Canis lupus familiaris: one gene and its partners. The protein of the gene in region 1 binds, or shares a complex with, the protein of each later gene. Links are inferred from orthologs where the notes say so. Each region holds a gene or a part of one and is shown in the gene's direction. Other genes may lie near its edges.

The links.
Region 2: NUP153 (region 1) and NUP205 share a complex: the UniProt entries of both Homo sapiens proteins name them as parts of the nuclear pore complex. The link is inferred for Canis lupus familiaris from reciprocal best matches to the Homo sapiens genes NUP153 and NUP205.
Region 3: NUP153 (region 1) and NUP93 share a complex: the UniProt entries of both Homo sapiens proteins name them as parts of the nuclear pore complex. The link is inferred for Canis lupus familiaris from reciprocal best matches to the Homo sapiens genes NUP153 and NUP93.
Region 4: NUP153 (region 1) and NUP98 share a complex: the UniProt entries of both Homo sapiens proteins name them as parts of the nuclear pore complex. The link is inferred for Canis lupus familiaris from reciprocal best matches to the Homo sapiens genes NUP153 and NUP98.
Region 5: NUP153 (region 1) and CETN3 share a complex: the UniProt entries of both Homo sapiens proteins name them as parts of the nuclear pore complex. The link is inferred for Canis lupus familiaris from reciprocal best matches to the Homo sapiens genes NUP153 and CETN3.
Region 6: NUP153 (region 1) and NUP188 share a complex: the UniProt entries of both Homo sapiens proteins name them as parts of the nuclear pore complex. The link is inferred for Canis lupus familiaris from reciprocal best matches to the Homo sapiens genes NUP153 and NUP188.
Region 7: NUP153 (region 1) and NUP85 share a complex: the UniProt entries of both Homo sapiens proteins name them as parts of the nuclear pore complex. The link is inferred for Canis lupus familiaris from reciprocal best matches to the Homo sapiens genes NUP153 and NUP85.

Annotation. Positions count from the first base shown.
Region 1 is NC_049256.1:17,831,655-17,835,154, reverse strand, and holds part of NUP153 (nuclear pore complex protein Nup153), read left to right. Parts: intron 1-804; coding exon 805-1,161; intron 1,162-1,834; coding exon 1,835-2,107; intron 2,108-3,500. UniProt on the Homo sapiens protein: Component of the nuclear pore complex (NPC), a complex required for the trafficking across the nuclear envelope. Functions as a scaffolding element in the nuclear phase of the NPC essential for normal nucleocytoplasmic transport of proteins and mRNAs.
Region 2 is NC_049237.1:12,272,354-12,275,847, reverse strand, and holds part of NUP205 (nuclear pore complex protein Nup205), read left to right. Parts: intron 1-1,530; coding exon 1,531-1,697; intron 1,698-3,244; coding exon 3,245-3,368; intron 3,369-3,494. UniProt on the Homo sapiens protein: Plays a role in the nuclear pore complex (NPC) assembly and/or maintenance. May anchor NUP62 and other nucleoporins, but not NUP153 and TPR, to the NPC.
Region 3 is NC_049223.1:58,826,693-58,830,783, reverse strand, and holds the start of NUP93 (nuclear pore complex protein Nup93), read left to right. Parts: upstream 1-1,291; 5' UTR 1,292-1,294; coding exon 1,295-1,313; intron 1,314-4,091. UniProt on the Homo sapiens protein: Plays a role in the nuclear pore complex (NPC) assembly and/or maintenance. May anchor nucleoporins, but not NUP153 and TPR, to the NPC. During renal development, regulates podocyte migration and proliferation through SMAD4 signaling.
Region 4 is NC_049242.1:26,465,201-26,469,216, reverse strand, and holds the start of NUP98 (nuclear pore complex protein Nup98-Nup96), read left to right. Parts: upstream 1-1,216; 5' UTR 1,217-1,375; intron 1,376-2,319; exon of another isoform or gene 2,320-2,338; intron 2,339-4,016. Other genes in the region: PGAP2 (post-GPI attachment to proteins factor 2), read right to left, coding at 773-861. UniProt on the Homo sapiens protein: Plays a role in the nuclear pore complex (NPC) assembly and/or maintenance. NUP98 and NUP96 are involved in the bidirectional transport across the NPC. May anchor NUP153 and TPR to the NPC.
Region 5 is NC_049224.1:18,661,794-18,665,955, forward strand, and holds the start of CETN3 (centrin-3), read left to right. Parts: upstream 1-1,362; 5' UTR 1,363-1,502; coding exon 1,503-1,519; intron 1,520-3,739; coding exon 3,740-3,875; intron 3,876-4,162. UniProt on the Homo sapiens protein: Plays a fundamental role in microtubule-organizing center structure and function. As a component of the TREX-2 complex, involved in the export of mRNAs to the cytoplasm through the nuclear pores.
Region 6 is NC_049230.1:54,798,197-54,802,286, reverse strand, and holds the start of NUP188 (nucleoporin NUP188), read left to right. Parts: upstream 1-1,290; 5' UTR 1,291-1,335; coding exon 1,336-1,367; intron 1,368-4,090. Other genes in the region: DOLK (dolichol kinase), read right to left, coding at 1-924. UniProt on the Homo sapiens protein: Component of the nuclear pore complex (NPC), a complex required for the trafficking across the nuclear envelope. Required for proper protein transport into the nucleus.
Region 7 is NC_049230.1:6,133,619-6,137,118, reverse strand, and holds part of NUP85 (nuclear pore complex protein Nup85), read left to right. Parts: intron 1-2,782; coding exon 2,783-2,866; intron 2,867-2,966; coding exon 2,967-3,032; intron 3,033-3,219; coding exon 3,220-3,371; intron 3,372-3,500. UniProt on the Homo sapiens protein: Essential component of the nuclear pore complex (NPC) that seems to be required for NPC assembly and maintenance. As part of the NPC Nup107-160 subcomplex plays a role in RNA export and in tethering NUP96/Nup98 and NUP153 to the nucleus.

The DNA of each region.
Region 1 (3,500 bases):
GTGATCACACAGCTGTGTGTTGTTTGTGCTGTGCTCACTGCAAGAGTAGCTCCCATCTGTCACCGTAGGATGCTAGTGCAGGACCATAGACTCGTTCCCTGTGCCCTCTTTGATCCTTGTGACCTAGTCCTTCCATAGCTGGAAGCCTTAATTTGTGGAGTGTGACAAGCTATAAGCTTGTTTTAAAATTTATATGGAAGGGAAAATGCACAAATTTTGGAGAGAAGGGCAGGAACACAAACAGGTTTGTTCTAATATCAAACCATACTATGAAGCTACAATAATTAAACCAGTCTAGTAACAGTAACTGTAGAGAAAACAAATGCACACATATTTTGGAGATTTAGTATGTCCTAAAGGTGGAGTTACCAATTAGTGAGTTGAAGGATGCACTGTCAGTAAATAATGCAGAGAAAAGTGGCTGTCAGTTGGATAAATTATGATTTTGCTAACATAAATGGCAAAATGAAGAGTACAGCTGTCTCCCACTATCTGAACAGTTATCCGGACATATCCTCCAGTTAGATGTGTTGGACTTAAGTGATATTTTTTATTCTCATTAATCTGAATGCTGAAAGTGTGCCTGGTCTAAGATACAGTCCAAAAGCCATCAAAGAAAAGATGGGTATGTTTGCTTTATATCAAAATTTAATATAACATGTCCATTTGATGAATACATTTATATGAAAAAAGCCTAATGATTCTGTTTTCTAATGAATTACTGGGCTGGAGAGTGGGAAGAAATGCTTTCTGTGACTCCTTTTCTTACAGATTTTTGTTTCCCCCTTCGTTTCTGTCTCTCAGATCCAGGTGCAGTGAAGTCTGTGTTCAGCTTCTTGAACAGCAGTGCTTCCACTTCGAGCGCACCAGCAACATCAGCCCCCGGGGGCATATTTGGTAGCTCCACCTCCTCCTCCAGCGCGCCTGTGGCTGCCTTCGTGTTTGGACAGGCCAGCAATCCTGTGAGCAGCTCTGCCTTTGGGAACTCTGCCGAATCCAGCGCATCTCAGCCTTTGCTGTTCTCTCAAGAGAGCAAACCAGCAACCACGTCCAGCACAGGCCCAGCTGTCACACCATTTGTCTTTGGTCCTGGAGCCAGCAGTAATAGCACCGCCACCTCTGGCTTCAGTTTTGGAGCTACAACCACCTCCAGCTCTGCAGGTACTTTGACAGAAGAACAACATACGTGTTGTAGTTGGACTGGCTTGAATTATATCCTCTCTTAGCAAATAGCGTAGCAGGTTTTCACAGAATGGCCTGGGTGCCGTTAGGTCCTCTTTACTCAGGATGTTGTAACTGTTCACTGCATGGAATCCTGTATAGTTTGTATTCGGTTTAATAGAATTAAGTCTTGGGAAGAATTTTTCTAGTCTCAATAAGAATGTCATGTTGGTTTTTTCCACTGTTCTTTTTGAAATGTTATGTTGTTAAGTAACCAGAAACTGGGGGACCGTTCCGTTAGACAAAAGTCCTCATTCTGTAGTATATACAGGATGACAACGTTAGTTGGTTTCTGCTCTTTATTAGATATCTGATGAGTTATCGCCTGTTGTCTTAGATGGGCCCTCTACCTAAAAAAAAGTTTGGCTGTGGATGTGGGTTTGTTAATAGGTAGATGATTTTGTGTATGTGCATTCTGTCTGTATGGTTTCACTAAATAATGGCAAGAACTGTATTCTTAATTATTTATTGAAAACTTGCCTTGATGGGATTTGTACAGGTAGGTAAGTGTATGAAAAGAAGCTTGAAGTTTGCCGCTGAAGGTATAGATGTTTCTTGAGAATTATCTCCTAGTAGCTATTAAGGTGACATCAGTGTTTCTCTGGGCCTCTAGGATCCTCCTTTGTATTTGGCACTGGACCTTCAGCACCATCTGCCAGTCCAGCATTTGGTGTTAACCAAACCCCGACATTTGGACAAAGTCAAGGTGCCAGCCAGCCTAATCCCCCAGGCTTTGGAGCTCTGTCCTCTTCAGCAGCGTTGTTTTCTGCTGGTTCTCAGCCTGCACCACCTACTTTTGGGACCGTGTCCAGCAGCAGCCAGCCTTCTGTGTTTGGACAACAGCCCGGTCAGTCTGCATTTGGCTCTGCAACAGCTCCGAGTTCCGGTGAGTGTGTGCTGGTCACATGGCTTGTGTCTGTACTTAGGATCTGTGTGTCTTAAATAGGATGGTTTTTGAATTTTGAAACCAGGCTTATGTCTTTTTTCTTTAAATGTCTCTTGTACTTGGCGAAATAGAAAAATAGATGTTTGGACATTGCTGTAAACAACATTCTCAACTTTTATATAATGAAGCACACTATAAGGTATTAAAGCATGTGATTTGGCATGCCTGGGGGCTCAGTTGATTGTATTCTTTAGGCTCAGGTCATGATCCCAGAGTGTTGGGATCAAGCCTCACACTGGGCTCCCTGCTCAGCTGGGAGCCTGTTTCTCCTTCTCCCGCTCTCCCTGCTTGTGCTCTCTTTCTGTCAAATAAATTAAAAAAATACATTCTTTAAAAATGTAGTTATTTCTTACTCTTTGATTTCTTACTCTTTGTAGTTATTTCTTACTCTTTGATTTACATTCTTTAAAAATGTAGTTATTTCTTACTCTTTGAAATTTTTATTATTCAAGTATTGATGACACACCATGTTGTATTAGTTTCAACAGCATTGATCAGTCCTGTTTCTCCCCATCTGATTTTTGGAGCATTCCAGCCTAGTTTTAGCCATATTTTCTAATCCAACACTCCACTGTGATTGGATTTACTTCAGAAGGTTATACCTCCACTCCAGTTTTCTCCTGGGACAGAATAGCCCAAGCACCCAGGATGCTTTCTGTTTGATGATACTTGCATATTTAAACAAACATTCCTCTGTGGTTTTTTTTGTTTTGTTGTTTTTTGTTTTTAATATGGCTGCTCACATTGTACTATGATGATATAGTTCCTCAGAATTGCACGATGTTAATTTTTCTAACTGAAATATGACTTCATGTAGAAAAGCATGAAACATAAAGGAACAGTGTGGTGTTGAAGCAGATGCTTGGATGGCCAGCAGCCCCTCCTGGGTCCCTGTGTGATCACACACCTCTCTCTCCTTGCTCTCATGTGTCCTGGCTTTTATAGTGATCACTTTCCTGGGGTTTTAATTTAAAATTAACTGCTGATACATGAATCTCTACAAAATACCATATTGTCTTATTTTTAATTCTATATAAATGGAATCTCACTGTATTAAGTCTCTTGATTTCTTGCATCTTTCACTCTTAACTTGTAAAGTTGATCCATGTTATTACATATAGTTTGTTCTCCTTCACTGTGTTAGTCAATCTGTTTATGAACATATCACAATTTATCCATATACTGTTCACGAATGTGTTTGAGTTGTTTTTACCTTTTAGGAAATGTACCTCTGCTCATTCTTGGGTATGTGTCTTGGGGCATATTTTTCTAGGGTATATACACCCAAGAGAGGGACTGCCAGATTAAAAGGTGTGCATGCATATCCAATACT
Region 2 (3,494 bases), on another chromosome or scaffold:
GTAATTGAGGATTAAGTTGCTGTGATTAAAATAAGCTCTAGATGGCTCCAGTGAAATGCAGCTCTTTTCTTTATGTGTAATTAGTGGGAAAATTTGTCAATGACTTTAAGAAAGATCAGTAAGGAGGTACTGGTGTCAGTCCTGTGGATAGGTTAGAGAGCTCAAGAGGACAGAGAAATTCAAGATTTTCTAAGGATAAATTTCAAAGAGCTTTGGGTTTGAATAGTATTTGAGACCCCAAAGAAAGTATCTAAGATGGGCAAGTAAACTAGCTGGGTGAAAAATGTACAAACATAACAGACGGTTTATGCGTAAGATCATGTTAAGCTGAAGGTAGTGTCTGAATTGGGTCTCGTAGTATAGCTCCAAATTTCTGTATCACAGCAAAGTAAAGTGTGGATGCTAAGTAAACTGACATAGTCTGTGATTTCCTAAGGACCCAGTAGGTGAGATCTGGAATGTGAGGGTTGTGGGTTGATGAAAGCTGTTATCCCATGGGACCCTCAGAAGACAGTCTATTCGGATGTTAGTGGTGCTTGCTCTGTGATTTTTCTGCAAATCATTTTGTCACATTTTCATCTTCAAGATCTTATTTTCCCTGAAAATTGCTTAATCACATAAAAGATTTAGTAGGATGGTGTTATTAAAGTATATTAGTTTAACAGTATCTAACCACTGTTTCATGTAAATGGTGCCAGGAACTAACAACTCTGTGCAACTCCATTATAAAGTGTCCAAGGGGCTCCGTTCTTCCCCCTTGAATCTTTTTTTTTTTTTTTTTAAGATTTTATTTATTTATTCATGAGAGACAGAGAGAGAGAGGCAGAGACACAGGCAGAGGGAGAAGCAGGCTCCATGCCAGGAGCCTGATATGGGAGTTGATCCCGGGTCTCCAGGATCATGCCCTGGGCTGAAGGCAGCGCTAAAGCGCTGAGCCACTGGGGCTGCCCCGAATCTAACATTTTAAAACAAGTTAAGTTGAGCCTGATCATAACATTTTCAAATGAAATTATAGTTTTGTCATTTATTCTTCAAAAACATTAATAATCATCACTAACAATTAAAATTTCACTTGCTTTCTTTTCACTTTGAGCCTGTCTTTCACATACTAGGCCATTCTCCGATCTTTAATACTTGATGAACTTTATGAAGCCTAATATATATTGGTCTTTATTCTTCCTTAGACTCTTTAAAGATTTAATCAGCAAACTTAACCTTTGCCAGTCGTAGACACAGGAGGGGGTGGGTTTGTGGTAGATTCAGGAATATTCATTTGTAGAGAAGCAGTTTAAGCTAGCAGTTAAGAACAGAGACTGATGATGAACTGCCTAGATTTGAGTCCCAGATCACCATGGCACTTCACCACTCCTCTGAACTGTCAGAAGTATTTAAAAGTAGTTGTGGGTTGGTTTTAATAATAGTTTACATGCCCTTCAGTTCTGGGCATCCCTTGTTTTAAAACAGGTCATTTGAAATTCATTTAATATTCTTGTAAGTGGAACATTCTGTTTTTATTATCAACTCTATTAGATACCCAAGCTCCAGTGATTCCATATTGGCGCCTGCCAGGTTTGGGCATTATTGTCTACCTGCTGAAACAGAGCGCTAATGATTTCTTCAGCTATTATGACAGTCACCGACGGAGTGTCAACAAGCTACAGAATGTAGAGCAGCTTCCACCAGATGAGATAAAAGAGGTATGAATCTTATAATGAGCCATGGAGATTTTGGAGAATCCTTGCTTTTCCTAATGACCAAAATATTGGTGTCCGACTTGTGTGTAAAGATGATGTATGCAGTGATAAAAGGGCTTGAAATGATGCCTCTGTGTGGTTTGAAGAAGAGTCCTCCCCGTAGCACCACACCTGGTAATCAGGGCAACACTTGAATGGAAGATGGTGAAGTGCATCTGTTCAGGAACACCACCTGCTACCCTTCAGTAGAACGGCAGCTGGCTTTTGAAGTAGAGTTTTGGTAATTCATACTCTGAAATCTGTGCTGAGAAACCTGGGTTTCTGTTGCAGATGCTTATTCAGTAGAAGTGATCCCTTAAGTAAGAGGTCTCTGTGTCTTCAGCATCTTCAGTATCTGTTTAGAGAATTTTTCAGACAAATGGGATAGCATATAAGACTTGACTGCCTGCCCTCAGTGACCCAGAATCATTCACCGATATTGTAGCTAAAGATACTGAGTCGCTAGGCTTACATCCTAAGTAGCCACTTTCTCTCCCATCCGGCACAGCTGAATGACACAAGGCATACCCTGGCCGGTGCTGAAGCTCCCTGGTGGCCCGTGGCAGCCTAGATGTGGAGCCATTTTGCCATTCCTCCTTTGCACCAACTGTCCTGAAAAGCTCCGCATTACTCTTCAGAGTAGTCAAAACCTCCTCCCTCTTGCCTGCTTCCAGCAATCATAGGGAGCAGTTGGTGGGTGTTTCTGATGTGCCAGACAAGTTCTGTTGCAATACATGAGGCAGATAGTGTAGCCACTCCTATTTTCTCAGATGAGGAAGTGGAGGCCCTGGAAGTTTGAATAATTTACCCAAAGCCACACAGCTAGCAGGTCCTGAGGCGGGAGTTACTGATGAGGTTCTAGTAATCCCTGAAGTGGGGGGCTTTACATCTGGCAGCCCTTCCCCAACACGCGTAGCTTACGGGTGACACCAGCACTCGCCAGAGAAACGGCAGCCTTCCTGGCAAGTGTGCGGTGCCCTCCCAGCCCCACTTCAGTTTGCCTTCTGTCCAACCCAGCAGCTGAATTTTGAATCGGACCGCAGTGCTTATGCCAAACAGAGGTGTGATGAAAGGAGGTTCTGGTTGATGAGCCTATTTTAGTTAATGCTGTAGAAATCGGCTTTTACATTTTCTTCAGAAGATACATGACAGCTGTTACAGAAAATCTCCATGGCGTTGTTAGACCCACGGCCTGAAAAACCTACTGTTGAATTTTGTTTTAGTTTGACAAGAGATTCAGGGTTGGTCGGCCCCTCAGCAGATTGGAAACATCTGTTACAGAGATAAGACCTTTTGCAGAAATCGGCAGAGGAGTCTTCATTTGTGAATTCCACTACTTTGGCTCTCGGTTTTATAAAGTTACCAGCTTCCTAACCAGATGATAACTCTCATCTGCAGGAATGTTTAAACTTCTTTGTTTTTTTGCAGGGCCTGTCATAAGTGACCCTCTCTTCATGAAGTTTCTGTTAGTTTATGTAATCGCTAATCCTGCGTTTGTTTCTGATTCTCAGTTGTGTCAGTCTGTGATGCCTGTTGGTGTTGAGAAAATCTCTACTGCCCAGAAATATGTTCTAGCAAGACGGCGTTTGGTGAAGTTGATCAATAATCGAGCCAAACTGCTTTCCCTCTGTTCTTGTATCCTTAATGAAGTCACAGTGGGAACTTGAGTGGTGGTGACCTTTAAGAAAATCTTTAAATGCGGGAACTGTTTACTGATTCTCACACAGCAAAACTGTATAAAAGGGACATATTGGGACATGA
Region 3 (4,091 bases), on another chromosome or scaffold:
CTTACTGTCAGGCTCAGTCATTGATGGCAGAGCCCTAGTGCTGTCCTCTTTCCATCCAGCCCCAATCTTGTTGCATTGGCTGTTCCACATTCCACTTCTGTGGGTCCTTCATGTGGTTTCTTCCTGGCTTCCTCCTCCATAGCTCACCAAGGGTACACCTGGCATCCAGTCTCTGTCTTGTGTCCTGGTCAGATTTACCAACAAAGTTTGGACTTAAACCCCCTCGCTGCCACCCCAGTTCTCTCTTGGACAAAGCTAGTGAGGTTATTTTCATGATGAACTTTCAGTATCTGAGGTCAAAACTGATAAGTTCGTTGGTTTAATTGTGGTTAAATTGATATTTATTTTGTAGAGGGGGTAAAAATTGTCCTTTTATGAAATTAATCATAAATTTAAAATTTTTAATGAAATGGGATGATGACCTCATCATGAAACTTCAGTAATTTTTTTATAAATTAATTTCCAGTGGGTGAGTTATAATGTAGGACAGATCCAGTTTTTCCCATGTATTGTATTAAGTATATAGCTTTCTCTCAGACAGACATGGAACAAACTTATTTTGTACTCTGAAGTTGTATAATGAAATTCTTTCTATACATATACTTATTTATTCTTTTGATTTGAAATTCTGTTCACCTGAAAACTAGGCCTTTTTTTTTTTCTTCTAAAATACCACTGGTTTTTGTCTGGATATTCAGAGGGAAAGTACTAGTCTGGACCAAGTGTGATCTGAATTCATGCCATTTATACTGTCACTGCCTTATGCTGTGCAGCCTCAGAAATGTTAAGTATCAGTTGGTAGTCGGAAGGGAATGTTTTTGCTCTGGTCTTTGCTTGCCAGTGGGTGCTAATTTGGCAGGAGAGTGCAGGAAGAACAGACTCTCCACAAATGGAAGAATAAAATTCCTATTCATTCAACAAATGAGCACCTACTATGTGCCAGGTGCTGTTCTAGAAGCTTGGGATATATCAGTGAATAAAACACACAAAATCCCTGTCCTTGTGCAGCTTACATTCTGGCATGGGTTACAGTAAGGGAGATGAGGGAGTGCTGGGGGTGGTTGCAGGTTGCACTCTTAAATATTTTGTTCTAGGTTAGAATCAAAGGCAAGATGACAGTTCAGCTGAAACAGAGAAATCAGTCAGGAGCGTATCTGGGAGAGGAGTGTTCCAGATAGAGGAAACAAGGAGTACAAAGGCGCTAGAGCAGAAATGTGCCTGAGTCATTGGGGGGCTAACATGGAGGCTCCAGGGTGACTGGAGCCCAGGAAAGGGAAAGGAGGCAGGGCTGGAAATGAGTCCAAGTCCGGGAGGTAAGAGGAGGTGAGGCTGCTTCTGTAGGGCTTTGCTCTGTACAAGAGGTTTAGGCAGAGGAAGGGTTCTTTGAAAGGATCACGTGGAACGTAGGAGGCAAGAGCTGAAGCAGGGAGGCCCAGGGTAGTGACTTGAGTGGGTAGATTCTGGGTGCGTTTTGCGGGTAGATTTGAAAGGCACTGTTGGTCCTGGATTAGTTGTGAAGGCTTTCAAGGATTTTATCCCAAGCAGCTGAGTAGTGGTGGCTCCACACTGAGAAGACTGAGGAATGGGTTTTGTTGACAATAGAGTTCAGTTTTGGGCATGTTAACTTTAAGATGGTGTTTAGAGATTCAGCTTTTATTTTACTGTAGTCAAATAATTCTGTTAACTTTAAAAAAAATCTTATTTATTGGACCCTATTAAAGTAAATCGTGATTTTTATTTTGCATTTATTATTTATATTCAGATTCATTACTCTAAGTCTTTGTGGGGGCAGGTCATTTGAGAAGTTGAGCATTTCTTTTGTCTGAATTTGTCTGGCATGGATATGAAATGTTAGATGTATTTCTTTCTTGTTTTTTTCCTTCTTTTTTAAACTTAGAAAAGTTTGTTTTATTCAGTCCTTTATTCAAGGAGGCCTAAAATTTTCCTTATGAAAGAAAGTATTTCCTACTCCTTAGCTCTGTTCATTATTTTTATCTTAGAGTTAAAAGGGGTAGGGGGAAGAGGTAGTATATTACTTTTCTTTCCTTTTTCTGGTGAGTGACCATGTTTCTGTTAGTAGAATGTTACTGGCCCTGTTGGTTTCTGAGGAAAAACATTTCTCTATCAGACAGGAGCTGTGTTGTTTAAAAATACTAATTTCTTTCTTCTTCTGTCCAAGAGAATACTCATTCCTTGTCCTGCCATCCTGATATTCCCACAGGTAGAAATGGCCAGTTACAGCCTCATTCTACTGGGTCAAAACAATGATTATCTAGAAATTTTAGGAAAAAGTTAGTGTGTATATGACTTTTTGTCTCTAAAGATTAAAGAATACCAAAGTGTTTTTGTGTTTACCCCAGCTGAACTATTTTTGTTTTAACCTGGTGCCTTTACCTTTAAAGTTAATGTCAGTTATCTATCTATCTATCTATCTATCTATCTATCTATCTATCTATTTATTTATTTATTTTAAGTTAATGTCTTTTTTTTTTAATTTTTATTTATTTATGATAGTCACAGAGAGAGAGAGAGAGAGGGAGAGGCAGAGACATAGGAGAGGGAGAAGCAGGCTCCATGCACCGGGAGCCTGATGTGGGATTCGATCCCGGGTCTCCAGGATCGCGCCCTGGGCCAAAGGCAGGCGCCAAACCACTGCGCCACCCAGGGATCCCAAGTTAATGTCTTCTAATGTCCATTTTAAAAAGTCCTCATTCTCCTGCGCTGAATTTATGTTGATGACCATGCCCTTTTAACATTAACTTGTGCTTTGTAGCTGAGATATGTAACTATCATATTAGACCAGTGGTATTTTAAAGGTGCAGTGGGAAGGCATGGGTTTAAAACCAAGAAAAGTATGATTAACAAGAGCTACTATTTAAGGAATTTTCTTTTTTCTTTTTAAGATTTTATTTATTTATTTATTTATTCATGAGAATACACAGAGAGGAGAGAGAGAGAGGCAGAGACACAGGCAGAGGGAGAAGCAGGCTCCATGCAGGGAGCCTGATGTGGGACTCGATCCCAGGTCTCCAGGATCACGTCCTGGGCTGTAGGCGGCGCTAAACCGCTTAGCCACCAGGGTTGCCCTTATTTTTTCAATAAGTAATAATTTTGTTAACCTTTTAACAATGTAAATTTTTAAAAAAAAATTGATGGTGATAATGTTTATGTTCTGTTTTATTTTTTTTTTTTTTTTTTTTTTTTTTAAATTTTTTTTTTTTTTATTATTTATTTATGATAGGCACACAGAGAGAGAGAGAGGCAGAGACACAGGCAGAGGGAGAAGCAGGCTCCATGCCCCGGGAGCCCGACGTGGGATTCGATCCTGGGTCTCCAGGATCGCGCCCTGGGCCAAAGGCAGGCGCTAAACCGCTGCGCCACCCAGGGATCCCTTATGTTCTGTTTTAAATAGTGGTAGAGTTAAAAACATTCTGTTGGTCAAGAATCTTATACAAGGATGGTACAGTATATGTAAGATTCATAAATGTGTAATATCTTTTAAATGGCAATACTGTTCATATGACTTTGCTCTGTCAACTGTTGGAGAAACAGGTGGTCTTGTTAATATTTATGGTCTAGAAGCCAGCTGCTATTTATATTAGTATAATTATTAGTAGCAATGGCATTTCTTTTTCTTTCTTTTTTTTTTTTTTTTTTTAGAGAAAGGGTGAGGGAAGGGCAGCGGGAGAGGGAGAGAGCAGGCTCCTGGGCCAGATGAGGGCCTCAGTCTCATGACCCTGTGATCATGATGTGATCCAAAATCAAGAGTCACTTAGCCACCCAGGTGCCCCAGCAATGGCATTTCTAAAAGTAGTAGGTATAGTAACAGTTAAGTCTAATATTCTGAATGTCATCTGTAACCAGCAGACATAGATATCTGCTCTCAGTAACCTTGTAAGCTAAAGAATGTGTGAATGGAAACATGAATTTTAAAAGACTGTCTTTTGTTAGCGAAGGAGCAAATATGTGAGAATAACACGGGGTTAGTCAGGAGACCTGTGTTCTTTTGTCCATCCAGCCACAATGCCACCAGAGTACCCTGGGTGCCTAACAGCTCTGTGGATTGGAGTTGCTTCTCCTATCCACTCTGG
Region 4 (4,016 bases), on another chromosome or scaffold:
CTACCATTGAACACTAAGAGGGATTTAAATTCATCTACTTTTGTGCAGAGCCCATTTCAGTCTTGTATTGATGTTCCAGGAGAAGGTGGTGGTGGAGAGTAGTCTGAATAGGTTTTGCTTTCTGAGCACAGTCCCTGCTATTCTGTGTCAGGACTCTCAGTTACTGGGTCTGGTTTCTAGAACATGCTCAACATTTCCCCTTGTAATACTTCTGTTTTGGACTAGGCCAGGGTGGGGAAGGGAAACCTTTATGAATAAAATGCCGCTGTGACCTTAAAGAGCCTGGGCACAGAAGACAGAAAAGTAAATAATAGGATACAAAGTGACAAAGCTGTAACAGAGGCCTGCCCAACCAAGCAGTAGCCCAACACTCTGAGACAGATCTGGGAATGTATCCCAGAGAAGGCGGGAACATTTGAACCAGGCCTTTAAGAATAAATAAGAGCTCCTAAAGTGCAGGTGGTTAAGAAGTTCCAAGAATACTCATTTGTAACATATCCTACCCTGAGCCATTCCCTTAGGGCATGCTCATAGCGTCTATTCTGGGGATTCAGAGAGGAAAGGTTGTGACGGGGCCGGCATAGGTTGGGAAACCAGGAGGCCAGGTTTTGGGGCCTCAGAGCAGCTGCAGGCGAGCTATGCGGAGAGACAGACCTCCCAGGAGGGCCCTCCAGCTCCGCACGTGGTCTGGCCAGGAAGTACGGGCAGGACTACGGGGAAGCCTTCCCATCACCGCCCGCGGACTGGGGCAACGAAAGGGTAGAATAGTTACCATGCCATCCTGGAGCCTCCCCTCTGATTGGCCCGAGCTTCAGCAGCCTGACTGTCTCGGCTCCAACGCGGGGGGCGGAGCCTCGGCATAGCGTCACCACCCTTCTCCCGCACCCCGCCCAGTGCACACCAACGCAGCCACTCACAAGCCCGCCTCGCGGGGGCCTTGTGTGACGTCACGACTCGCCCCAGCCAATCGCGGCAGAGGGGGCGGGACTCCCTGTCCCTCCCACCGTCCCTCCCATTTCCCCCCCGTAACTCCTCCCGTTCCTCCTCTTCCCCCTCGCTCCTTCTCCCGAAGACCGCCCTCACGTTCGGTTTCAAAAGACCAGTTGCCCAATGAGTCGCAGGGCGGGCCTAGAGTGGCGGGGGCGTCTGCCAATGCGCAGGCAGCGAGGGCGGAGCGCCCGGGGCGAGCCTGTGACGGTAGGCGGCGTGTGACGCAGTCGGGCCCTCTGCGCGCTGCGCCCGAAGCGGCGGTCGGTGGCGGCGGTGGTATCGGCGGCGACGGTTTCGTGGCGGCCGCGCGCTGCTCCCCGAGCGGCGGGTGGCGGACGGGCCTAGGCCTTCACTCCTGACACTTCCCTTCCCCCACCGCACCGCGGTAAGTGGAGAGCCCGGGCGGTGGCGGCCCCGGACCGACAGGCTCCTCCTCCCCTCTGGGCGGGCGGGTGCGCGGGGCGTCCCAGGCCCTCCGCGCCGAAGTCTCGCGCCCGGGCGCGCACCTTCTGCCCCGAGGGAGGGGGCGGGGCCCGCGACCCCGCGGCCCCGCGGCCCCGCGGCCCCGCGGCCCCGAGGCCCCGAGGCCCGGCTCTGCGGGCGCTGGGAGGGGACCGAGGTCCGGGGAGCCAGGGCCCCGGGGTCTCCCGTGGCAGCCTGCGCTCGGGGAGCGTCCATGTATCTGGTGGTACTCATTCATTTGCCTGGCGGTGATTAGGTGGGCGGGCCCTTTGCGGGGGCCGCGTCTTAGGACCCTGAATAGGATCTCCCCAGCGCTTGCTTGGTTGACGGTCGTTCGGGACGGGCTTTAATTTGCCTTGACGTCTCCACGGGGGAGATGTGCAGCCCGGCGTTTCGGATGGGTGGGTCGGGAGTTTGTTAAGCTTTTTAACACAAGATCTGAGAATTAAGATCGATCTAGTGGAGTAAAAGGTTATTTTCTGCCCTCCCACGTGTTTCGTGTAAAGCTAGAGGAGGAGAAAGGTGGGATTTCTGGATTACTGTAGCTTTGGGGAACCTTAGAAATTAAGCCAATCCCCCTATCGTACATCACGTGCGAGTTTTATAGGTGGAGGAACTGAGGTCCAAAGAAGGGACAGGATTAGGATTAGCCTGTACCAGATCCGCCTCAGTCTAGAAATTTTTCTACTGTATCACTCTCCCTGGGTGTTCCATCCTCCTATTATTGAAGGTTCAATTTGGAACCTTTGGGGGGAGGGGGGTGGGGGCTTCGGTATTTAGAAGCAGCCTTCAACAGCGTTTCTGCGTGGTTACCAGTTCTGTTCGTGTTAAGGCAGAAACTTCATCTGCGGGACCCTAACCTAAACCATGAGAATTAAAAAGTTGGGTAAGGAATGTCGGTGATGTAAATGTATTGGAAACAAATGGATAAGACTCCCATGTCTGGCTAATTTCCTATTCCAAATCTGAAATTATTTGTGTCAGCTGCTGGGGACTCAGGAGACAGAATCCACTTAGTGACTCATAAGAGTTTTGGAATAGAAAGCAGAAAATACAGACAAGACTTAGATAGGCAGCGGTAATTTTGTAGTTCTTGTACCTTGGAATTTATGGCTCCTTCCTGACAGAATTCAAAGTATTGTAGTGGGAAAAGGTGAGGAAATGAAACCTCTCTTTGGAAGCAGAAACTAACTGGAAGAAAAGAGCAGTGATCATCCCCTGTGACGACAGTCTTAGAAATTCAGCTTGTTAACTGGGAGACAGATGATCTATTCACTTGATGGAAGAAGTTAGGAGATTTAAAAAACAAAACCAGAACTGGGACAATTTGCAGGTACTGGGAAATACTTTGACAGAAAAAAAAAAATTTTTTTTTTTGACTCTTCATTAAGATTTGAGGAAATTGAGTTAAAAGTTGCCACTTTGGTCTGTTCACACTGGTCATATCACATGTTCTTGTTTAGATGACAAAGCAAAAACTGAAAACTAGTGTGTAAGAGCAGAAGAGAACGGTAGTCTAAACACAGAAATGTGAAGAGTATATTTTCTGTGACATTTTCTCAGTTCAAGCATCACCCTCTTCTGGGAAGCCTTTCCTGGCATTCTGTCTCCAGCAAGCTTCCATAACACTTATTTGATACTTCTATTTATAGCACACATCATTTTGTATTTTAGCTGTTTATCTTATTAGACTGTGGTAAAATATTTTTATCTTTTTAAAAAAATTATTTATTTATTTTAGAGAGGTGGAAAGAGAGAGAGAGGGAGAGGGAGAATCCAAGCAGACTCCCTGCTGGTGTGGAGCCTGACTTGGGGCTCAAGCTCACAAACCTGAAATAATGACCTGAGCGAAATCAAGAGTTAGATGCTTAACTAAGTCACCCAGGCACCCATTTCTTCTCTTTGTATTCAGATTGCTTGCCACCTAATAGGCGTTCAGTGTTTACTTGAAGGGATAAATAGGGAGCAGGGAGCAGCTAAACCTAAAAATTGTCTATTAAAAGACTGATTATATGTGTGTTCCTGAAATATGGGGCCTAGATAAGAGGACTTACACCGTTCATATGTTTCGTGGTACTTTGGTACCTGACTTTATTCATGTCTCTACTAGTTCCTAGATAGTTGAAATCAAGCTTTTAGGGAACCAAATTAACAGCTCGGAAGAAATTGAGTATATTATTTTATTGTGATATTTTTATTGTAGTAATTAACCTAGGAAGTAAGGGTTACTACTAATGTTTAATTTCCAACAGAGTGCACATCTGTGATTATGCAGTTTGTTGAAAGGTTAGGGGCGGTCTAAGACATTTTTGGAGATTTAACAATATAGATATTAGAGTTAAGGTACCTAAACATTGTTTCTTAAGAATTTGGTGCGTTTCTTTTGGTTAGGAATTGAACCTAAGTATTTGGCATAGCATGTCTCTACAGAAGATTTTTCAGCCTCTGCACTGTTATCATTTTGGGGCAGGTAATTCCTTTTGTCTCAAAGCTATGTTTTGTATTGTAGGGTGTTTAGCAGCATTCCCCACCTTTACCCATTAAATATCCATAACACCTCCTCC
Region 5 (4,162 bases), on another chromosome or scaffold:
TCTTTAAACATATATATATATATATGTTTATATAATAAAAATATATACCTAAACACATATATAAATATATACATAAACATATATATATATATTTATTTATTTATGATAGTCACACACAGAGAGAGGCAGAGACATAGGCAGAGGGAGAAGCAGGCTCCATGCACCGGGAGCCCGACATGGGATTCGATCCCGGGTCTCCAGGATCGTGCCCTGGGCCAAAGGCAGGCGCCAAACCGCTGCGCCACCCAGGGATCCCAACATAAACATGTGTATTAAATATATAAACATGTTTATACGTATAAACATATTTATATATAAACATATATAAAAACATATATAAACATATATATGTTGAGGATATATATATATATATATATATATCCTTTATACATAGCCCATAGTGTTTATACATCTTCCCCCTTACCCTGCCTCAACGCCATATTCAGGCTATTTCACTCCTTTATAAGGGTTACAACTTAGTTCAGTGATTTGTGGGTTTTCACAGCAAGATCCCACCCAACGCAACAAATATTCATTGAGCGCCTGTGCATCAGGCACCGTATCAGGCACTGGGATCCGCGTTAAATGAAAGATACCATCCTGCACTTGAAGAAAGCCTAGTAGGAGTGATGAACAAGTAAACAAATTACCCAGGTGAGCTTCAAGAACTTAGTTTGGAGCTTAAGATAATATAACGTGTATAAGCAGCTTCCAACCCTGTAAAACAAAGGATGCAAGAGAACAGATCCCTTCAGGGAGGGAGAAGGGAGCTAAGGTACCGTCAAGTGCCGCTTTACCGTAAGTAGCCTAATAATCCAACCCATTAGATATACAATCTATAAGCGACAGCACCTGCCTTAAAAGCACGTGGGATTGTAAGGGGGAAAAAAATGCAAATTCATACCTACTAAAATCAGAATTGGGAGGACGGGACGTTTAAATCTGCGTTTTAAACAAACTCCCCATGGACTCAGGCCACCCAAGGTTTTAGAACACAGCGCAGTCAAATTCGGCAGGCCTCATTCCCCAGCCGCTCCCTCCCTTCGGCTAAGGAGGCTGGCCCCGCGGCGCGCCTCTCCTCCCTCCCTCCCTTCTCCCCCGGAGCCGTCCATCTCGTCGGCGGTCACCCAGCGGGAGGCAAGGTGCAGCCACCTACCGCCCAAACTACCACGCAGACACCTGGACCCTCGCTCCGCAAAGGATTCCGGGAAACCTCAACAAGCCAATAAAGGGCGGGGAGGAGGGGCAGAAGAAGAGGGACGAGCGGCTTCTTTGATTGACGCGAAGCACGCCCAATGAGAGCAGAGGACCAGGGACGCTTCCGCCTCAATGGGCGGGCTGTTAGCAACGTCAACCAATCCGACTCCGAAGCGTCTACCTTGTGGGAGGTCCTTGAGGCCGCTGAGGTCGTTGGTGTCTGTTGAACGGCTTGTGGAAGTCGTGCTGCCTTGGGCAGGGCGTTAAAGTCGTTCTCGAGGGGAACGTCTCTGTCCGAAGAGAAAATGAGTTTAGCTCTGAGGTCGGTAATGAGGAGGCCGCAATGCCCTCCACACCTCGCAGCGGGCCCCAGGGCTGGCGTGTGTAGAAGGGAGGTAGCTGGGCCGAGGCGAGCTGGAAGGGGATGCATTTTGGGATGAGGGCGAGGAGCCTCGGCCAGCCTTCCTGGCTCGGATTCCTCACCCTGGGGGCCCTGGTGCTCCGCAGGTGAGGAGTCCCGTGCATTTGTGCCGAGGTAGTTAGCGTCTGTATCAGCGCGTCGGGCTTTGCACCACCGAGGAGATGGGTTTCTAGTTGGGAGGAGGGAGTGAAATATCGCGATGCTTCTTCTCGCGGTGTTTCTCCGCGAAGTCAGGCCGGGGAGCCTCCCTGGGTTCAGCTCCGCCCTCCGGGTCTCCGGCCCCTGCAGCCCCTGCAGCCCCTGCAGCCCCTGCAGCCCCTGCAGCCCCTGCAGCCCCTGCAGCCCCTGCAGCCCCTGCAGCCCCTGCAGCCCCTGCAGCCGTCAGACCGAGCTATAAATTTTGGAAAGAGCTTTAAACTCTTCCTTGCTCTTATCCTGGGGCCCTGCTTTAAGATATAACGGGCGACCCATATAAATGACTTTAATTGATTTCTCAAAAAAAAATTTTTTTTTAGTTTTGTTTACCTTTCATTGACTTCCAATCTCTAACCCCGTTCGTTGCCCCCAGCAGCAGCAGCACCTAGATGTTTTTACACGTTGCACCTTAAAAAAAAAAAAAAAAAAAAAAAAAAAAAAGGTGGTTACGCCTTTCTGAACAGGTGCGGCTTTGGGTTGGGAGATGATGGTGGCAGCCCTGCCTCGACCCCGTGGCGGGTCCTGCTGTTGACCTGGCCGTCCAGAGAAGGTGACCGCGGGGACTGGGGTCCCTGTTCGCGCGAAGTCAGGTGTCTTGTGAAAGGTTGTCCCCCCGCTCTGTTTATTACTATAGGTCTCCTGGTCATCTTCTGATCGTCTGTCTCTTGACGGTTTTGTGGTAGGTTTTTAGAAAGCAAAACACAGGCAAATAGGTAAGGTGTTTTTATTAAATAAAATCAACTAGGCTTTACATTTCAAAGTGTTAGGAAATTGGTTTCAAACTTCTTGTACGGATGTTGCGGCACCATTCGAAATTTTGGAACACTAAGATGAGTATCTCTTAAGACATACCTGGCTTTTTTTTTTTTTTTTCCTTTTTTTTTTAACATTTATTTATTCTTGAGAGTTAGAGAGGCAGAGACACAGGCAGATGGAGAAGCAAGCTCCAATGCAGGGAGCCCGGTGCAGGGACTCGATCCCGGGACCCCAGGGTCACGCCCTGGACTGAAGGCAGGTGCTCAACCGCTGGGCCACCCAGGGATCCCCATTTCTGCCTTTTTAAATAAAATCTACTTTCAAGAAATTTCCAGGATTTAGGAGAAGCTATATCTAAATTTACAAGTGAAATTTAGAAAACCATGGACTCTTCACTATGGGGTGAGCAAGGCTTTGACTCATGGAAGAAAAATTTCATTTTTCTCTCAAATAATTCCTTTTAAGAAATTTAAAAAATATAGAAAATTAGCACAAACATTCTTGTTTTGGCTTTTAATTTTCATGGTATATTTAGACTTCAGTATTTCGGTTGATTTGTTAATATCAATGGAAGAAATTATAAATAAAGCCCCAAACTTAGCAATGTGTACTGTAAATCACTTTGAACCCACAATGCCACAAACTTTGTAAGTTAATTGTTAAGTGATACGCTTTTTTTGGTAGTAATTTTGATAACTTATAAATGCTCTCAAAAGTAAGCCAAATATGCAATGATCCTCAATTATGAATTTTCCTTTGATTAGTTTAATACTATGTTGTAGAGTAATGTTAATAAGTAGGAGTGCTTTAGTTTTGTTGCGATTTCTGTGATGAATAATTTTTTTATTCACAGTTATTTCTTCCACATTAATATCAGAATAAATACAAAGCCAGAAGGAAAGAAAGTTAGGTCCTTTTTTTCTTATAATAACATGTAACACTTTTCAGTTTTGGAAAGTGCAGATTTATAGCAGCTTAGACTATGGATTGAGCAAGGCTTTGACTCATGGGAAGAAAAATTTCATTTTTCTCTCAAATAATTCCTTTTTAGAAATTAAAAAAATTCTTCCTTGTTTAATTTCTTTGTCGCATTTTGAAATTTTAATTATCTAGATGTGTAGGAGAATAGAATTAAAGTAGACTGAATAGACTTTTCTTCTCATTTCATAGAAATGAGCTTGTAGTAGACAAAACAAAGAGAAAAAAAAGAAGAGAACTCTCTGAAGAACAGAAACAAGAAATTAAAGATGCTTTTGAACTGTTTGACACAGACAAAGATGAAGCAATAGATTATCATGAACTAAAGGTAATAATGTACTTTAAAATGTATATTTTTCTGTTAAAATTGTTTGCATTTTCTATAGTTGGCTAAAATAACCCATCTAAAGTATTTTAACTAAACTGGTTGTGGAAATATGAAACCATTTGAGATGTTCACAGTTAAGTGCTATAATAAAATTAAATACTAGCATCTTTTTAGACTTTCCTTTTCACACTGTGAAGCGAATAGTATTTTAAATATAAAAGTATATTACTATGGTAGGGCCTTATTTTCACTCATGTAATAAAAAGATTTCAAACTATAGGTTTTAA
Region 6 (4,090 bases), on another chromosome or scaffold:
TAAGGTGGCCAGCAGAGACCAGTAGACCAGGAGGTAGATGCGGGTCTCTGTCTGGAAGAGGAATTGAAGAAGCCAGAGCAGGGGGTTCTTGCGGATAAGCCGGTGCAGCCAGGGAAGGACCACGCCAAGGCCCAGCACACAAGTCATAAGGTGGAAGAAGATGGAGGAAGCCCAGGTACCTGAGTCCATGAAGACAAAGAGTGTGCTGAAGAAGACGCCCATAAGCACCATCCCTACTACCACCACCAGCAGGAAGAAATCCACTGGGTCGCCCTGGCTCTCCACCACAGTCAGAGAACGCTTGATGAGCTGGTTGAGCATGAAGCTGATGCCACCTAATACAAGCAGTGCCTCCCCAGGGGTAAAGCAGCGGGGCAGCAGGTACAGCAGGATCATGTTGAGGTAGACGAAGATCAGCAGGACCTCCAGGACCTCGATCACCTCGCCCACACTCAGTGAGTGCTTCATGATATAAATGATGACACCTCCAGCCAAGCCTGAGATGACACAAGTGTTGGTGGGCACTGGGCGAGTGATGCCCAGTGCCAGTACCGACGAGAAGAGGGCCACTGCCATCCCAGTGGCTGCCACCACAATTCCAAAGCGCTCAAAATATGGGTTCCCCATGGACTGGCAGCGCTCCTTCATGACCAGTCCGAACAAAGGCATGACCATTGATGCGGGCAGCAGGCCACTGTTTGCGGACATGCGGAACTGGAAGACAGCGCTTCCCTGCTGCAGCAGCCGGTCCCACTTGTACTGGACGTAGAAGGCCTGCACTGCGAGAGCCACGGCGCACCACGAGTATCGGTCCCACACGGCTGCGTGGATGCTCAGCACCACTGCGAACACTACTGCTGCCTCCGCCAGCACTGACCCACTCAGCGGAGCCCCGGGGACCGGGGGAGCGTGCTCTCGGGTCATGTCTCTAGACCGGGCCCCGGAGAAACCGGAGTGACTAGCGACGCCTTGGCCTCTGGGTCCCTCAAGCCTTGTCAAGCCGAAAGCGGCAGCTTCACACAGCCAGCACCTCCTCTTTCCGTTCTCCAGCTGCGAGGAGGGAAGCTCCACTGTAGGCAAGCCTCTCTCTGCGGCTCGGGAACTGGCGCCCAGCTATCCTCCACGGCCTCGCACCTAGGACGCAGACGTTGCTACTCCGCCGCTTTCTTTACAGCCCGTGCTGCTCCCACCGCGGCTTCCTCACCTCTCTGGGCGTCGCCATCTTGGCCCCGCCCGCCGTCACGTGACAAGAAACACCGCCCACAGCCCGGCCGGAGGCGAACGGTCACGTGGCTGCGGCGTCTGGGGGCGGGGCCGGGGCGCGCGCGCGCGAAGATGGCGGCGGCCGCCGGCGGGCAGTGTGTGAGGTGCGGAGCGGGCCGAATCGGCGGGGGTGGCAGTGAGGCGCGGGGTCGAAGTCGAGCGGAAGCCGGGCGGGACTTGCGGGCGAGACGTGTGGCGGCGGTAGCGGGGTGAAGCCCCGCTAGGTGGACGGGCGCCGAGACGCGAGGCGGTTACGTCCAAACGGTCCCCGCGCGCGGGGATCCCAGGCGACTTCTCCAAGACGGGGCCGGTGCCTCTCCCCTTGCCTCACGCCGGCCTCCCGTCTCTTCATCCAGTCTCTTTGCCTTCCTCCCGCGTTCCTCGCCGCCCCCCCACCCCGCGCTTCCTTGTCCGGCGTGACGCTCCCTCGAGGCGCGACGGGGCGCTTCGCGGTCGCCCGGGGGGAGCCCCCGCCTCTGTCCCCGCTGCAGCCGGTTGCCCTGCCTGCCCCGGCGACGTTCCCGGGTTCCTCCATGTGCTCGTTGGGAGGTCTGTTCCGCGTGTGGCCGAGCCACCTCGCTGCAGTTGCTGCCCTCTTTCTCCTCGCAGCCTTTCATTCATCCATCTTCTCATTTCCTCCTGCATTGGCTCCGTCGGCCGACGTGCCCGGGTCTTTTAGGCGATCCCAGGCTCCGTAGTGGACTTTGGGAACGAGAAGATGAAATGTTAAAACAAGAGACAGTTCTTACTTTACAGAGCGCTTACTAGCGCCAGACGCTGGCGAAGCGCTTCCTGTGCATTAGCTCATTGAAACCCTCCCAAGACCGAGAGGCACCCTCTTTACCGATGATTCACGAGTCCAGCTAAGCGCTAGCTAGGTGGTCAAGTGAGGATTCAGACCTAAGCCTGCCCGACTCCGAAGCCTCAGCCAGGTCAGCGCACCTCCATCTTCCACCTTTCCGCTTCAAGTGTCTTCCATCGTCCCTACCACCCTCCGCCCTAAAATTCAACATGCCTGTCACTCACTGTGCCAGCCCTGGCTCCCCACTTTTATGCACTGCTGTGTCCTCAGCACCCAGAAGAGCACGTAATAGGCGCTCGGTAAATACTACACACATTGCTTATCTTCTTTGTTACCACTGACTTCACCTCCCCGCTCTAGTGAGATCTTCTTTGGGATTTCCACTGGACTACTGAACTTTGCTAGGATGACTTTTCTTTTTCCTCCCTAGCTGTTTCATCTGGCAGCATTGTGGTCGTTGTGCCCCCCCCCCCCCTTATTTGTATTTATCTGGTAGTCATTGTGGAGGTTGGGTAGATCTAGCTCCTGTAGGGTAAGGCATCCTCTTCAATAGAGAACAGGGGAAGGGAAGGGGTTGGTTTGCTTGAAAGATGCTTTGATGTCCCTGGGAACGTACCAAACTCACACTTGAAGATGGAAGAAATGACACTAGGATTTCTAGGCACTGCTTTGCTCAGAGTAGGGATTAGAGTGATCTTTTTGTGCTGGAAAGCACATTATAGCTGTTGGGATTATACTGAGTAGCAGCCTTCTGTTTGGAATGCCTGGAGGTCTGGACTAAGAGAAAACTTAAAATCTATTGCTGGTGCCTGCTGATTTGCAAGTGACCTCAGACAGTCCACTTTACCCTTGGAACCTGTTTTTTTCCCAAATATGAGCCCTTTTCAGAGTAGTATTGAAATGGCTCTGAAGCATATAGGAGAATCCTTGTGTGTGTTGCTAGCTGGCACTAGTCAAAAATAGAATAATACACTTAAATCACTCAGGGTTTTAGGAAGGTCCCTTAGGGTTTGGCAGACAGTCATTTTGAATATTGGCATTTTTTTTTTAATTATTTATTTATTTATTTATTTATTTATTTATTTATTTATGATAGTCACAGAGAGAGAGAGAGAGAGGCAGAGACACAGGCAGAGGGAGAAGCAGGCTCCATGCACTGGGAGCCTGATGTGGGATTCGATCCCGGGTCTCCAGGATCGCACCCTGGGCCAAAGGCAGGCGCCAAACCGCTGCGCCACCCAGGGATCCCGAATATTGGCATTTTTAGATATCTTTTTTGTCCTTCAGTTAATGTGTTTGTAGAAGTCATGGTGGTGTATGTATGCTAAAAAAAAAAACAAAAAAACAAAAACACCAGTGGTTTGAAAAGCTTCTGGTTAAGCTTAAATCTCAGTTCACACAAGAGGCATGTACCTCCTCTGTGGAGTAAGGGCATCCGTGGACAGTGGCCACATTTATTATCTCCCTGTGGAATATAACTTTCTCAAAAGAACTATTTCAGAGTAGGTTGGCTGTGTCTCAGCTTTGTACCAAAAGGACTCTGTCGTAGAGGCTCTTCTTCCTAACCTCCTAGTAGCTTTCCTCTGGAAATTTCCAACTGCATGGATTTCTTTCAGGAAGATTGTTTCCAGTTTCCATTTAGTCCAACTCTTTTAGAAATGGAGTTCCGTGTTTTCTGTTGGAACATTGGGCTGAAAGTCCATAAATTTTTAAAACTCTACCTTTGAGGCAATGTTTTTAGTTTCTGTGCTTTGGTTTCCTCCAAATACTTAGATCAGACTTATTAATTATGCAAAGAGATGAGAGACATTATAGCTTTGGATTAGACACCACAGTTCTGGCCATGGTTGTATCCTGCTAAACCTTTGTAGTGCCTAATTCTTAGGATCATACTTTTTATTACTTTCTACTTTCTTGCTGATTGTGTAATATGTACTTAATGTCCTTTGTCATTCCCAACACTAAACTTTGGAGTATCAGAAGCGTCTTTGATTCATTTGTATCCTCTTTATTCCTAGACCAGAA
Region 7 (3,500 bases), on another chromosome or scaffold:
ATGGTGGTCAGGAAGCAGTTTAGTAGGGATTAGTTATGTGTTAACCTCAATTTCAGATTTGCTGATTTTTATATTTATAGAGCACTAGTCAAAGGAATCTTTTTTAAGATTTTATTTATTTATTCATGAGAGACACAGATTGAGAGAGAGAGAGGCAGAGACACAGGCAAAGGGAGAAGCAGGCTCCATGCAGGGAGCCCGATGCGGGACTCGATCCCAGGACTCCAGGATCACGCCCTGGGCCGAAGGCAGGTGCTAAACTGCTGAGCCACCCAAGGATCCCCATGGAATCTTTTTTTTTTTTTAAGAATTTATCTGAGAGAACACGTGAGGGGGAGCACAAGTTGGGGGAATTTTATTTATTTGAGAGAGAGCCAGCAGCAGAGAGCATGAGTAAAGAGGAGAAGGGGGAAGCAGACACCCCACTGAGTAGGGAACTATATGTGGGGCTGGATCCCAGGACCCCGGGATCATGACCTGAGCCAAAGGAAGATGCTTAACCGACTGAGCCACCCAGGTGCCCCTTGGTTACTTTTTTAAAGATTTATTTTAGAGAACAAGAGAGGACTGTGTGTGCATTTTGAGGGGGTGTACAAGGGGGGGAGAGGGAAAGAATCTCAAGCAGACTCCCCACAGAGCATGGAGCCTGATGCAGGGCTCAGTCCATGACCCTGAGATCATGATGAGCCAAAATCATGACTGGGATGCTTAACTGGGGCACCCAGGTGCCCCAGTGTGTTTGTCTTTTACTCTTAGGAAAGTGGAGTTTTAATGATTACTTTCTATAACAAAATCAAATGTAAGTAAACTGGAAGCAGACTATCAAGATAGATAGTTTCAAGGTATAATCATGCATTAAGGTAAAAACTTCTGCTTTCATGATCTAAAAAGAATAGAGATTGGTTTACACTGAATTACTGGACAAATGTTCAAAACTTACGCCTTGTTCTTAGGGCTATGGATCCTCAAATATTCCATCTGTTCCAGGATTCCACCATTAGGGAATGCTCTTGTTTCTTGGTTTCAACTCAGGTCATGATTTCAGGGTCATGGGATCAAGCCCTGCATTGGGCTCTGTGCTGAGTGAGGAGTCTGCTTGAGATTCTGTCCCTCTCCACCTTCACGTGCACTTGCGCCCTAAAATAAAATCTTTAAAAAAAAAGTAATATTTTCCAATATTCTTTTTTTTTAAAAAGACTTTATTTATTCATGAGAGACACAGAGAGAACGAGAGAGGTAGACACAGGCAGAGGGAGAAGCAGGCTCCATGCAGGGAGCCCGAATGGGACTCGATCCTGGGTCTTCAGGATCACACCCTGGGCCGAAGGCAGACGCTAAACCGGAGAGCCACTCAGGGATCCCGTTTTTGGCAATTTTCAAAAATACCTTTTCTTGTATTTTTTTATATTTCCACAATCCTTCAATACTAAGAGTTCTATAAATTATGTGCTACACAAAGTCCTATCATGCTCAAGTTTTCAAAGAGTACTTCCTTGATCCAAGTTCTCCTTTAGCTATGGCTTTGCTAATTTTGTAATTCTGTGTTCCTTTCTGACCTTGTTCTTTTAGACAGGAGTCCCAATAAATAAGATCTGCTTGGTGAGGAGCCTGCTGCTTCTCCCTCTCCTCCTCACTCATGCTCTCTACTACTCTCTCTCTCTCAAATAAATAAAAACTTAAAAAAAAAAAAGTCAAGCATTATATACAAAGAGAAAGGCCTATGCCAAGTAACAAATGAGTAATATAACCAGAAATGATGTATGTACATACAGTAAGTGCATTGGAATACTCTATAGAGCATGATGCAGGGTGTTTTCAAACAACTGATGATGTAAAACAGTGATTTCCAAGGCATTTACTTAATCAGACCTTTAGAGGGCCCTAGAAACCTTCACTTTTAACAAGGGCCCCAGGAACTTCTAGGTTTTGATTAAAAGTGTGGTTTGGGAGAGGACTTCACCTTCATTGTGGCCAGAGTACATATACGATAAAATTATAAATCTTGTAATTGAACAAAATTTCTTTATACAAAGTACTAATAGAAACCTAAACAAAAGATGGTTTTTAAAAGTATCATGTATATATATGTATATATATAGTCCTATTCATAAAGTATATTAATCAAAAGCTGTACAATGAGAAGCATTAATAGTGAAGCCAGCTGCAAATATATTGCTTTGAAGTCCATGTTTCCTCAAGCATCAAAAACTACCAGTCTCTTAGTCTTTTGTTGATTTCTGTATTTTTGATGTGTTAGTTTCAGGTTTACTACATTTGACAATTCTGTACATCACAAAACGTTCACCACCAGAAGTGCAGTTACCATGCGTTACCACATAAAGTTAGCATAGCTATACTTTTCATTTGCATAAATCACTCATAACTGGAAGTTTGTACCTTTTCACGTAGTTCTCCAGTCCCCTACCTCCCTCTGTCTGATAACCACCAGTTTGTTCTCTGTGTTTATTAAGCCTATCTGTTTGTTTGGTTTTTTTTTTTACACATTATTTTGTATCCACATTCTCTGCATGTGATTGGATCCCTGAATTTTATTTTCACTGTGACATTTTCCAGAGATCTAGATTGTTGGCTTCCACTTTGAGGGCTTACCATCCTTCTGAGTATCCACTGTCCGTCCCCACATAGCACATAGCTGTGTGCTTCCAGACATATTTTCACTTGTTATTGTCCCTCCCATCCTTTTATGCAAAGGATATGCAGGCTCACATGGGCCATATAGTCACCCTGACTCTCCTTCTTGCCCTGGTGTTTGAATCTGTAGTATTGCTCTGAGCAACTGGTGGTTTGTGGCCCATCTGACAGACCTGCTGGATCACTGCAAGCTCCTCCAGTCGCACAACCTGTAGTAAGTGTGTGGCGGCCATGCCTGCCCTTGGGTTGGGCTGTGGGAGGGCCCTGAATGGAGCAGGCCAGGGGTTTGGGTCTCCTGTTATGTTTTCTTTCAGCTTTGGATCTAACATGAGAGAGTTCCTCCTGCTGGAATATGCCTCAGGACTGTTTGCTCATCACAGGTAGGAAAGCCCCAAGGATATGAGGTGCTTTTCAGCATGGATGTACCACTGGGTCTTGGATTGTGCTCTCCCCTGTCTGGTTCCCTGAAGGCAACGGGTCCAGGGGAGGAGTCATCTTGGTGCCAGTCCCCAAGCTCTAGGGCAGCACATGGGCTCATCAGTCGCTCCTGTCCTTGGATGTTTGCAGCCTGTGGCAGCTGGGAGTGGACTACTTTGACTACTGCCCTGAGTTGGGCCGAGTTTCCTTGGAGCTGCACATTGAGCGGATCCCCCTGAGCACTGAGCAGAAAGCTCTCAAAGTGCTGCGGATTTGTGAGCAGCGGCAGATGACTGAGCAAGGTGAGCCCACCCTCCTCCTGCATGCTTGCTGCTCATGCTGCTCTGGCCGGACTGGAGAACGGCTGGGCAGTGGGTGCCAAGAGATAAGCCAAAACAGGAAAATTATTGAGGAAGGACAAATGGCTAGGG